2 linked regions of the Drosophila melanogaster genome follow. The protein of the gene in region 2 purifies or fractionates together with the protein of the main gene of each other region. This does not show direct contact. Each region holds a gene or a part of one and is shown on either strand. Other genes may lie near its edges.

Region 1 (5,930 bases), on a different chromosome or scaffold from region 2:
ACAGCGGAGGAGATGAAGCTGGAGACCCATCTGTCATCCATCTCTAGTGCTTCCTCATCGCATTCATATGCCTCACCCCCACAATCACCCCGCATCTTCCAGCAAAGCTACGAACGCCTGACCACCAAGAGCATTTTGGCCAAGAGCGGCCATAACCATTTTGGCCACCAGAGCGATACCAATAACTACAGCATCGACGGCTACCTGCATGGCTCCTCAAATGCTAGCTCCTACTCCTCCTACTCCGCATCAATGACGTCCTCATCGCTGGTCTCGTCGGCCCAGTCCAACTCCTCATCCATCGCGAGGAGGCCAGCTTTCGAAAGTCGTGCTCGCACCAAAACCGATTCACTGAAGTATGCCCGCTAAAACCAAAAACCGTTCCGATAACCGTTTTTTTACCGTTTCGCTAAGTAAAATCAATCGTTTTGCGCATGAGTTTTTCAAGGAGTTCGCATGGATAGTATCGGGAAATCCGTTTTTGAGATATTATTTTTGAACCTGTTAACTATATTCTTTCGGCATGCCTTAAGCTCAATATAAAATATTAAATCTTTGAAATATTTTAGTTTAATATAAAAAGAACTTTTATACAAATTTAACCAATTCTCAACAGACATCGTCAGCACTCCCTTGGAAATTCGCATAATTCGGAATCAGCTGAATTTCAATCTATTATCGAACGAATGGCCAGTTTGGGACCCAATTCCCAGCTAAGCAAGGGTGCAGATGAAAATCTTTTGCTGTAAGTAGTTCAACTTAATGTCGAAGTAATAAAAACAAAGACTCATCTATGAATATAATTAAAATTATTTTCAGAGCCGATTATGTCACCTGGAATGGACCCAACACGAAGCTTCTTCAAAAGCAGATCACTCAAGGACCTAATGCTAGTCTTCTCACAGATCGCACCTATAAGCCAAGGGGTGGGAAATCGGAACTCTGCAAAGGACCCCAGTCCGGATTGGCGAAGGGCAGCATCTACGCCCAAGGCAGCAACAAGAGCGCCAACATCAAATGCAACTAGGCGGGAGTATCTCATCTGGAACCTCCCCCAGAGTGCCAAAGAAGTGAAGATGAATCTTAGTAGCCAAGCACCACCCTCCACATGTTCAGACTTACGATTTATATATGTCGTAGTGTTTTTTGCTCTTATCCTTAAACACCTACCAAATACCACACGAGTACGTAGACTCAACAAAAAAAAAAAAAAAAAAAAAAAAAAACGAAGTCACATTCCATCCAAGCTCCAATTGTTTTTAGTAACTCGTAAATAAACAAACTTTAAAACTAACAAACTTATTTAATATTAATGCGCGTCTGGAGAAAGGGGATTATGGGGATTATGGTACAAAAAGCACATGGGTGTAATCTAGACCTCGTCCTCGTTAAGGAGCATGTTTGGTATACCATCGCTGATGGGAAACACACGACCTGTCTCCGGGCACTCCAGTTGACCCTCGAGCACGTCGATCTCGAAGAGCAGATGGTGAAGCTTCTGCAAAAGCAGTTCATTCTCCACAATGTTTTCAGGCTGAACGGCAGGAATGTCTTCTGTGAGTTCCGCCTAAAAAACAAATTCCAATTATTAACGAATATAAAAAATAACAGGTTTTAATAGTTTAAAACTGATTAAAAATATTTGAAACCAGTAAATTTGAAATCAGTAACACTATTTAGAACCATTCTATGGTTCTTTTAGAACCATTCTATCACTTACCACCTGAGCAGCTCCATAGACCGCTGACCAGTCCAGCTTGGGAAGGATTCTCTCCACAAAAGTTGGATTAAATTCGCTCTCCACCACTTCCTTTTTGTTAATCTAAATGCAAAAACAAATAGACCGTGAAACAATCAATAGCCAGGACTTGGGACACCGGAACTCACCGTCAGTTTCAGGGGAAATCCCACTTTGACGCCCTTGATGGCCACGGAGGTCAAGAAGTTGTATGTGCTGAGTTTCATTTTCGGGCTTGTAATGGTTTAATTAATACAAAGAGATGAGGTAAACAACAATGTTTTTAAATAATAGTTGCGGTGCACGTTGTATTCCTTCTTCTTCTTGCTTTAAACATTCACAATTGGTGTATGTCATCGATACCACGATACACACTTGTCGATGTTTTGCAGCAGTTGGCAACGCGAGCAGTGTGTTAAATATTTAAAACGTCCACACTGCACAAATTTTAATTGGAATTCTCACAACTGTCGCATTTTAAGCGTTTAAATCTGTTTCTAGATGTAAATTAGGTTGGAAAACCTATAATATCAGTGACTGCGAGCGGAATAAAGGAGTGAGGAGTAAAAATGGAGGACATATTCCACTGGTGCCGCGAGGGCAACTCGATTCAAGTGCGCCTCTGGTTGGATGAAACGGAGCACGACAACAATTTGGGGTAAATCCAATAGAGGCAACTAACTCCATCACTTTCTAGTTGCTTTATAGTGCACTTAGAAAGTTAAGCCCTCAAGTAGCAACCCCCTCTACCAGGAACGTTTACTTAGTCATCGCCTAAATACGCCCAAGATTTCGAGGGTCTTTCAAGTCTAAGTGACGTCATGATTTATTCTTGTGTTGTGTAAACAGACGAATCAAATATATAAGTATACGTATGTTCATATTTGCCTGTGTGCATATCGCGAGCATAAAACCCGCTTGCCATGTTTATATTGTTCTTTACTTATAATTAGTCTTATAATCCTTTAAAAAGGACCATACCTAACTCTAAGAGCATAAGTATATAAGGTCTATAATGCTCAAATTCCACCATAATTAAAATAAATAAAACAAATAAATTCGTACACTTTAGAGACGACCATGGCTTCAGCCCGTTGCATTGGGTGGCTAAAGAGGGCCACGCCAAGCTTGTGGAGACTCTGTTGCAGCGCGGTTCGCGTGTGAACGCCACCAATATGGGCGACGACATCCCACTCCATTTAGCGGCAGCTCATGGCCACCGCGACGTGGTCCAGATGGTGAGATAAAACAGAAACCAGCTAGGTAACTTATTTAAGAACTTATCTGCCTCTACAGTTGATAAAAGAGCGCAGCGATGTGAATGCGGTAAACGAGCATGGAAACACCCCCCTGCACTACGCCTGTTTTTGGGGCTATGACATGATCTGCGAGGATCTGCTTAATGCGGGAGCCCAGGTGGGAATCGCAAACAAGGACGGGCACACACCTCTTGAAAAGGCCAAACCCAGTCTGGCCAAGAGGCTTCAGGATCTTGTAGAAAAGAGCGGCAGAGAGGTTAAGGTTATCAGCTTCAAGGAACAAAGCTGGCAGGGATTGAAGACGAGATCCCGGGATGCTACTTTGTCCCGTTTCAAGGGAATCAGTATGGGAGACCTAGACCTGCATACCAAGCTGTCGGTGACGCCATCAGGAGAAACTTGGCGCGGACGCTGGCAAAAGAACGATGTGGTAGCTAAGATCCTGGCCGTGCGTCAGTGCACGCCTCGTATATCGCGAGATTTTAACGAGGAGTTTCCCAAGCTCCGCATCTTTTCGCACCCTAACATTTTGCCTATTATTGGAGCATGCAATTCGCCACCCAATCTGGTGACAATTAGTCAGGTGCGTTGAATTTAAATAACTTCAGAAATGACCGTATAAGGTAACCATTCTATTTTCTTTAGTTTATGCCACGTTCTTCGCTGTTTAGCCTGCTGCATGGAGCAACTGGCGTCGTGGTGGACACCAGCCAGGCGGTAAGCTTTGCCTTGGATGTTGCGAGAGGAATGGCTTTCCTGCACTCGCTGGAGCGCATTATTCCAACATATCACCTGAACAGTCATCACGTGATGATCGACGATGATCTGACGGCGAGAATCAACATGGGCGATGCCAAATTCTCTTTCCAAGAGAAGGGACGCATCTATCAACCGGCTTGGATGTCGCCGGAAACATTGCAGCGCAAGCAGGCGGATCGAAACTGGGAGGCCTGTGACATGTGGAGCTTTGCTATTCTTATTTGGGAGCTGACTACGCGCGAGGTACCCTTCGCCGAGTGGTCGCCCATGGAGTGCGGCATGAAAATTGCGTTGGAAGGTCTGCGGGTCAAGATTCCGCCAGGCACATCGACGCACATGGCCAAGCTGATTTCAATCTGCATGAACGAGGATCCCGGCAAGCGGCCCAAGTTCGACATGGTGGTTCCCATTCTGGAGAAGATGCGCCGCTGAAGGAGAGGGGCAAATTCAATAAATGCCAAGCCAAAATGTGCCTTGAGAAACCTTAGATTTGCCAACTAATTGTAATTACTACTTTGTGTTACCTTTGTCTAACTGAGCCTAACCGAAAACCGTACCGAAATGGCAAAGCAAGTGCAACTGCTCTGTCTAGAGTTTATGTTTCTGTGTCTCACTGTTCTCTACTTATGATTTTCCGTCGATGTTTAGTGCGGGTGCTCGATTTTTTACTTTTTAAGTTCAATAACCATTATGATCGTATTTATACAGAAATATATTTGTTACTAATTAATCAAATCGATCAAATTGATTGTGTACCAAAGCAAATGCGGAACCACTTACGAGGGCTTTAGTCCACAGAGCTTATTCGCTGAGCAGCAAACAAGTCGGGAGCTTTCCGCCGGAGTGGGTGGCAATGCATCAGCGCAGCGGGTCGGGTAACGTGAGCACGGCGGCCCTGACCTGGTTTTCATTTCAGCACGCGATTGTGTGCAGCTCGCGTGGGCAGAGCAAACTCGGCGCTTCAGAAGAGCGCGCCGGCGTGAGAAACTCGCGGCGAGAATGGCGCAAATTTGTTGTATTTGCTCGAAATAATTTATATTTATTATCCAATATGTTTTCATTTATAGGCTTAAGGAAAGTGTGGTATTAGTTATTGGCTGATTTGCCAGTGACACTTTTTATCATCCTTAAGATTTTGTTTTGCTAACGTACTTTATATTATTTAAAATCATCTTTTAATGTTGTTTTATTTTCTTTTCTAAATTGATGTTTAAAGCTCTTAAATTATATTAGACAAGGTACTTGTGATTTCTTTTTATTTATTTTAGCTTATAATATTTTGTTGTTCTAAACGATAATTTTGTTATTTTTTGTGTCATTAAATATCGAAAATATTTGGCAAATTATGATTTACATACTAGGATGAATCATATTTTTTCATAAATAGAAAAAAAGATTTTTATATTTAAATTAAAAATACGTTTTTATATGTATTTTCTTATATATAAATTTATTTATATTTTTTTACATTTAAGCCAATTTGTCTCTCGCTTTCTCCAACCTCTCTCTTGGCCTGGCTCTCACCGGCTAGTGGCTCTCTGTTTATGTTTTTGCGGCAACGCTTCATTCGGGCCAGAATGTTGTTGGTGCGGTAAGCTTGCACTGAGCCATGTGATTGTTTTGCTGGCTCGTTCTTGCCTTTTGCCGCACACATCCTGTGGCAGGTCTCTTTTTGTGTTGGTGTTGCTGCTGCAGCTTTAAAAACTTTTTGCTGCATTTTGTTGTCGCCGTCGTCCTGTCGCTGTTGTAGTCGTCGGCGCTTTTCGGGCCCAGAGGCTGGTCGCTCGGTCTCCGCACGGACCGAAACGGAAAAACGGCAAGCTGCAGTGGCCAAAAGCCGATTTACAGTATTCCACGGCAGTTATGACGGCAGCCAGCCAAACGGCAAGAGCATTTCCGCAAAGGATTCCCCATAAGATTGGAAAAGAAACATCAAAGAAATTTGGTGAAGTGAAGTGCATACGTGGAATAAACGAAAATTTAAGGAACCCCAAAAGCTTTACATTTTAAACTTACCCACACAGCCAAACGGAAAAACACACACACTTTATCTAGTGAACACTTTATCCAGTGAAAGTGAAACATCTAGTGGAATCTTTTAGGCGCAGCGCAAAAAGGCCGTTCCGAATCCTAGTACTTTCACTTCGAAGGCGTGCAATAATATTTGTTTGGAC
Region 2 (6,732 bases):
ATTTAAAGCCGTCAAAATTGCATTTGTAAACTAGCAAAACAAAAAAAAAACGATGAAAACCAAAAAGTATGAAATCCATAATTATTAAATAAAGAAGCGAGACTTAAACAAAAACGGTGGAAACAATCCAAACTTATTCATTTGTTGCTGAACGCATTTTTCTGTATGACTTTCGAACGTGGCTTTGATTGTTTTCCGTATACATTTTCCTTGTGCAGAAAAAGCAAACGAAGTAACTAATTTTTATATTTCATGTATTTTTACTATCTTAGGTACAATTTTCTATTGTCAATTTTTATTAGTATTAGGTTTAAAGCTTTATGTTTTAGCAATCTGGTAGCAAAACTGCCAATGATGATTATGTTTAATGTTATCTATCATATACGTGTATATCTGCCAACATATAAATCTATTTTTATGTAAGTATCTTAAAGTGCATAGATCATGCATATATGATACTATCGAGTGCTTGTAATTTGCTTTGTTGTAGTCTCATAGGTTACTAGTTTATGTTTTTTGTTTTTGTCTGTGTTTCGTATTTGCATGCTCAAGAACTAATCGTGCAACTACTCACGGAGTCCCGACTGATGTACTACTCCAAGAAAAGACATTTATAGCTTGAAAGCTATATGATATTATTTTTGAAACCCTTGTCTTCGTTTCCATTCGCACATCCAACTTGTATATCGTGACGCATAGCTATGGAATTATCTCAATTCGAATTTACAAGACGTTTCCGTGCTATCATTTTGGAGAAATTTACTGAATAAATGAATTTACATTTTTGTTTGTTTTTCTGCCAGACTTTTCGTAAAAGAACATCTTTAACTCTTGTAAATAAACTCTATAAAAAATATATAAATATAAATACTAAAATATACTTTAAGGAATAAATTAAATTTGAATTGCAGATACAGTGAAGGCGAAATACGTTTACAAAATAATTAAATAACATAAATTGATAAAAAAAAAATGTATTCAATTCAAATTGACAAGTGAAAAAATGCAAAGAAACGAAACAAACTCAAAGCGAACAAAGCAGAACTATGCTTTTAGTTTTTCTCAAACATAGAAAACAAAGAACAAAAACAAAAAACATTTAACTATTAATTTAATTAAAATAAATAAAGAATTAATTAATTGACTTTAAGTAAACTAATTAATTATGATTATGAACAAATTTCTTAAAAAAGAAGAATGAATATGAGAAAAGATAATAAAAACAAGAAAAACCTACTATTTTATAAAATATACAAGCGTGTCTTTATTTAACGATTCTTTTGCGCATAGGATCCGAAATTAAACCAGCAGGAATACATATATGCATCTATTATTTTGTTTTATTTTCATTAGTGAAACTAAGGGTCAAGGCACATTGCAGAAATACGCATTAGTTTAAAAGTACTTATAAATTAGTATACGAAAACGGGTTTGGTTAACAACGAACGAGACGAACACATTTGTAATTCCATGGGATCTTGGGATCTTCTGGTGGAGAATCACTATGCGCGAATTCGAGAGGCCTTCTTGCTTTTGTCAGCTTTGGGTGGCGGCGGTCCACTGCGTCCTGCTTGCAAGTGGCGGTTGTAGATGCTGTCAAGGAAAAGGATCAGATGAATATACATTTATGGATATATGGATCTATGGTGCACTCACATCTTATAGGTCTCCGTTTTGAGGTAGTCGATGACGTGACTAATGCCCAGCAGATATTGCTCGGCGATGGGATTGACCCAGGGATTCTCCTCCATCTTCATGACCGACTTGTTGCTCAGTAGGTCCAACTGGGCGATCTCTGGTGGCAGCACCTGCAGCCTATTGTTTTGAATATGTAGCTCCCGCAGTCGCACCAAATCCCCAACTTCGCGGGGCAATTCCAGAAGATCGTTGTCACGCAATCCGAGTATCTGCAGATTCTTCAGCTGACCCACCTCCTTCGGTATATACTCGAAGTCATTGTCGCCCAGATACAGAGCACGCAGTGTCTCCATACCAAAGAAATTACCAGGCAGGACCTGTTCGTTGAGATTGTTGTAGGACAGGTCGAGCACTTCCAGCACCGGAAAGGCTCCAAAGCCGCGAGGAAGATTTATCAGCCGATTGATGGACACATTGAGGATGCGTAGCTTTGGCATGGACGACAGCGAAACGGGCAGTTCGGTCAGCTGGTTGTTCGAGAGGTTCAGGATCTCCAGATTCAGTAGGTTCGCGATTCCCGGACTGATTACGCTGATCTTGTTGTGGGACAGGGTCAAGCGCGTGATGTTGGACATGTTGACTGCAAAAAAAATTATATTAATAAGAATACTAAACTCTTTAAAATACATATTTTTCCTTTTTCGTGATATCAAAGATTGTTTTTCATAATTGTCCAATGCACTGTGAATTCACCACTGGGTTTAAATGCAAACAGCTGATTGCAGGCAACAAGTATAGACGCCGAATGTTGGAGCGGGACAACAATATAAGCAGAGGCATGCGCAATGTTTTTTTTTTCTCAAAAATTTAATGGTTTTAAGATTAATAATTGTAGTATATTCTAATTTTATGTAAATGAAGTCATAGTTATGGAGTTGTAGTACATTTCCCAGATATGTATACACATCTTATTTGCGGTATTTACAGTGTTTGTTTACGTTCTCTACACTCAAACTTATGCATATTTTGCTGCTGGCGTCATCACAATAAATAAAACTAAGCGACTCCATTTAAAAAGATGCTTAGACTCATTTTAAATGAATATTATTACCACAACATAAATACATACGCTAGAATATTATTAATTTACAATTTTTTTAGCAGCTGGGCGAGGCTCCATTCTGCGTGGAAGTAACCCACCATTATGTTTACTCAGAAGTGCAAAAATCCGTATAATTCCTTCAAGATCCTTTGGTTTTGATACTTACACAGTCCGGGCAACTCCTCGAAGGACGACAGCCCCTTGTCGGCCAAATCCAACTCGGGATTGTGAGTTTCTCGGGCTTCATCCAAAACCTTCTTTGCCTTCGACATCTTTGCGCTCACTGGTATACAAGACTGACTCATTTTCGTTGATTCCTAATACGCCCTAAAAAATACCAGAACAAAATATACATTTCTAATTAATTATTTTGAAGGTTAGTCAATAAATTTTTATTTCTAAAAGCAGAATAGTAAAAGAATTTGGCAAACTAATTCTATGCTTTTTTAAATTTTGTAAGCAATTTTTTTGTAATGTGAGCTATTATATCTGTTATATGTATTTCAGGGCTGCCAGACAAGTAGAAATATGTAATTTTACATCGACAGGAAGCAATGTAAGATATTGTAAATGACTTAATCGAATAATAAGTATTGAGCTCATTTATTAAATAATATTTATATTTATATTATTTAAAAAAAAAGATGTTCATTATTCATTTGTATCTACTTATATATGAATGTGAAATCAAAGCTCACCAAACAATTGTTGATAAAAAGGTACCAACATAAATTTTACGCGCGTTCGATGTATGTTATCATATCTACATGTAGAAAGTGTGTTTACTTGTGATTGGTAAAAACTTAATTGTAACGTGTTTTATTTATTGAATTTATAATAACATGCATTCTTTAATAATATTGATATAATTTTGTTTATTTTTACTTTGCTCGATTAATGAAATATTCAAATGTCTTAAAGGACTTAACATTATTATTATGTATTATGTTAAATTATGTATTAATTTATGTATTAAATTAAAATATAAAATATTGTTGTAAAATGTATTTATTTTTATTTTTATATATTTTTCGTGTAGTTGGTCTAAAACTAAGTAATGAACCACAATTACTTACAGAGTAATTCTAAAACTGTTTTGGCAGCCACTTTCAGTAGCTCTCAAACTGCGCCAACTGCACTTTTTGTTAGCATATGTTTTTCTTCGGTCAGTTTTCAGCACTTTTCATCCACATGAAAACGAATTTAAACGTTTTTTAGGTCACTATGTTACACAAACACTGCACTTGACCTATTTTTGTAGGAAAACACCAAGGCTTTTCATACTGTATGCGTAAAATTGTTGAGTATCTGGACGAATTCGTACTGATTTCTGCAGATTATATGGCACTCACGTTACAGAATGGAACATGGGTTCCTATTAGAATACGTCTCCGCTCTTCGAAATTAATCACGAAAATAGACCCAAAGTGCGGAATGCGTCGTGCGTCGTCCGATCGTCTCGAGAAACTGAGAAGATCTCTCGCAGCGTCAGCAAGATCGATCGATGTGGATGTGGGCGAGTTGGAGGTGATGGGGGATCCGAATAATAGCTGGGGGCTGGTTTTTGCCTTTTTCGATTGTCGCCACTGCCGGCAGACAGGAAAAAATAAAAAACAAATCGAACCCAAACTCAATACCGGGTTTTGTTGATTTTGTTTAAAGTATTTCGCTTTTTCTCCAGCATCTTCACTACAGTGTCGAAACCAGTTTGAATTATATCGAAAAGACAAAAAACAGGCATAACTAAAGCATGAAATCTGTGGTTTGTCGACTTGGAAATAGGCGCTTTGTTGATTAGTTAATTACACAGTTGATTAATATCTTAAATGCAGCCATCTCGTTGACGCATATAAGATTTTAATATGATTTATCACATCTCCATGTGAAGTGAGACATCATGACTTTTTTCGCTATATTTTACGTTCTTGCCTTACTTCTGCTGCTCACACCATATACACATGAAAGTAAACTTCGATATATTAGTGAGTAAGGACACGACTTGGGATAGTAAATATAAAGCTAACCGTTGTAATAAGCTTGCAGGCGCAAAAGTGGAAAGTGGGGACGTTGCATTATAAAACAATCGCCATGTCCTGGCATTACCCATTTAAATCGCGTTTGCAATTCGGCAGCCATTTGCTGTGTGCCTGAATCTCAAAAAGTCTGGGACAATATAAGCTATTTTAAGCGCTTAGAACCGAAAGAAAACAATATAGAAACAGTAATAATAAAGTAAGTCTGTTTCTTATTACTTAGCCACTTAAGAATTTTATACCGTTATAAACTGAAAACTGCAGTGCAATAAGAAATGAGCTTAGAGCACATTTAATAAAATATCAATTCAATATAGTCATGTTGGCTTTTACCCTTTTTAATGCATTTTAGTTTAATTTTCTTTTCTTTTTTAATAGTTTTTATTAGAACTGCAAGCTGAGACATTTCTTCAATTTTATCTATTTGATGGATGCTAGATGCAAATTTTGAAGGGACTCAGATTTCTGGGCTGCAAACATGGCCGATATGATCTCCTTCAGTACAAGCTGCTCGGGGTTTTTCTGCTCTGGCCATTGGCTGTATTTTTAATTACTCTGCGGTGCTCCAGTTGCCGATGCAGTTTTGGATCTCAGAAATACGTAGGAACTAGATGTTTGTGTGGGTGGGGGGGCAACCCCGTTTTTTGGCTTTCGTATTAATTTTCATCCCGCCGGTTGTCGAATCCGCAAAACAGAAAGTTTGTCTTATGCGCCTGCATAATTTGCGTGTTGCACATACCATTTTTTTCGCTTTTTTTTTTTTTTTTTTGGGTTGGGGTAGTTGGCATGATGGCGAGTGCCTTTGCCGTATACACTTCCGCCGTATAAAATATGCAAAACAATGCAAACTCTCGCCTGGCCAGCAAACAACAACAACAACAAGAACAACAGCAACAGCAATGGGAGGGAAATAAAAACTTTCCCTGGCCCAAAAATTAATTTTTGTTTTAGATGGCGCGCAGATTTTTCGGCTGCATTTTTGGCTGCACTGCTAATGCTGCGGCACAGTCGCCACCAAACGACCGCCGGCCACTGTCCGTAATTTTTGTTTTAATTAACTTTTTGTTTGCCTTTTTTTCCTGCTGACAAACTTTTGCAGCTCGGCGCAAATTGTGCTAATTTTGAAATGGTGGCCAAAATGTTTGGAAATACATAGTTTATGCTCAGTTCCACTCATATTAATATATGATTGCAATTAAGGCATTGTATTGTATTGTGTAGCAAAATCAAAGCCTGAGAAGTGTCCTTTGTTAGGTAATCGATTCTTTCATAAAATTATATTGAACTTTGCAGTTCGATTTTCTATGTAAAATTCTAACCGCAATAGCGACCAAAAACCATAAATTCTTCATTGCCAAGCTCGCTTAAATTCCAAATTGGACATTTGGCGGCCATAAATTCGCATTAAGTGTTTACTTCGTTTAAATGTTATCCATGCCAATGTGCGAATGTGCGTAGGAGCGGCAAATAATCGATCCGGATTCTAGTTAATTGATGGCACTTGCCTGCCCTCACTAATTTGTGTCCCTTTCTCACGGAATTGAACGACCACAGTTCGAAAGAGTTGTCGGCTGATTGAATAGCTTCAAGTGGGCTTAAAGTGGACCGAATAATTCGATCCGACTGTTGGCAACAGAAATATAACATCCTCTCTTATGGAGCTGTCAGCACACGGACATGGGCGCATACTTTTGGCCGGCAGTGTCCGGCCGTTGGGCGCTTACTATATTCCTGGCAATTTTTCAATGCGCTTTGTTTGGCCAGTTCCAAGGCAACTGGCATAAAGCCCGATAGCGAAAGGACCTGCCAGGACATGGCAATCATTGGCAACGGTTGCTTTGCAGCCTCAATGAGGCTTCGACCACAGAATGTGCCTTTTGCTTTTGGCCTGCACTTACTTATCCGGCTACCAGGCATCCCCCCGTCTTCCATAACAACCATTTCCCCCCCAGCGCCGTG

What was found. Proteins that work in one complex are often made in the same cells at the same time.
Region 1: the proteins of ics (region 2) and Ilk purify together in Drosophila melanogaster (affinity purification with western blotting, with the first as the bait; one study listed by BioGRID). This does not show direct contact.

What each region holds. Positions count from the first base shown.
Region 1 is NT_037436.4:21,214,757-21,220,686, forward strand, and holds Ilk (integrin linked kinase), read left to right. Parts: upstream 1-2,144; 5' UTR 2,145-2,307; coding exon 2,308-2,396; coding exon of another isoform or gene 2,397-2,400; exon of another isoform or gene 2,401-2,810; coding exon 2,811-2,976; intron 2,977-3,034; coding exon 3,035-3,580; intron 3,581-3,642; coding exon 3,643-4,188; 3' UTR 4,189-4,484; downstream 4,485-5,930. Other genes in the region: CG10508 (uncharacterized protein), read left to right, coding at 1-356, 617-745, 820-1,027; Trmt112 (tRNA methyltransferase subunit 11-2), read right to left, coding at 1,373-1,567, 1,721-1,822, 1,888-1,965.
Region 2 is NT_033779.5:13,638,204-13,644,935, forward strand, and holds ics (icarus), read right to left. Parts: upstream 4,400-6,732; 5' UTR 3,817-4,399; intron 3,070-3,816; exon of another isoform or gene 3,068-3,069; 5' UTR 3,046-3,067; coding exon 2,907-3,045; intron 2,279-2,906; coding exon 1,657-2,278; intron 1,594-1,656; coding exon 1,503-1,593; 3' UTR 1,244-1,502; downstream 1-1,243.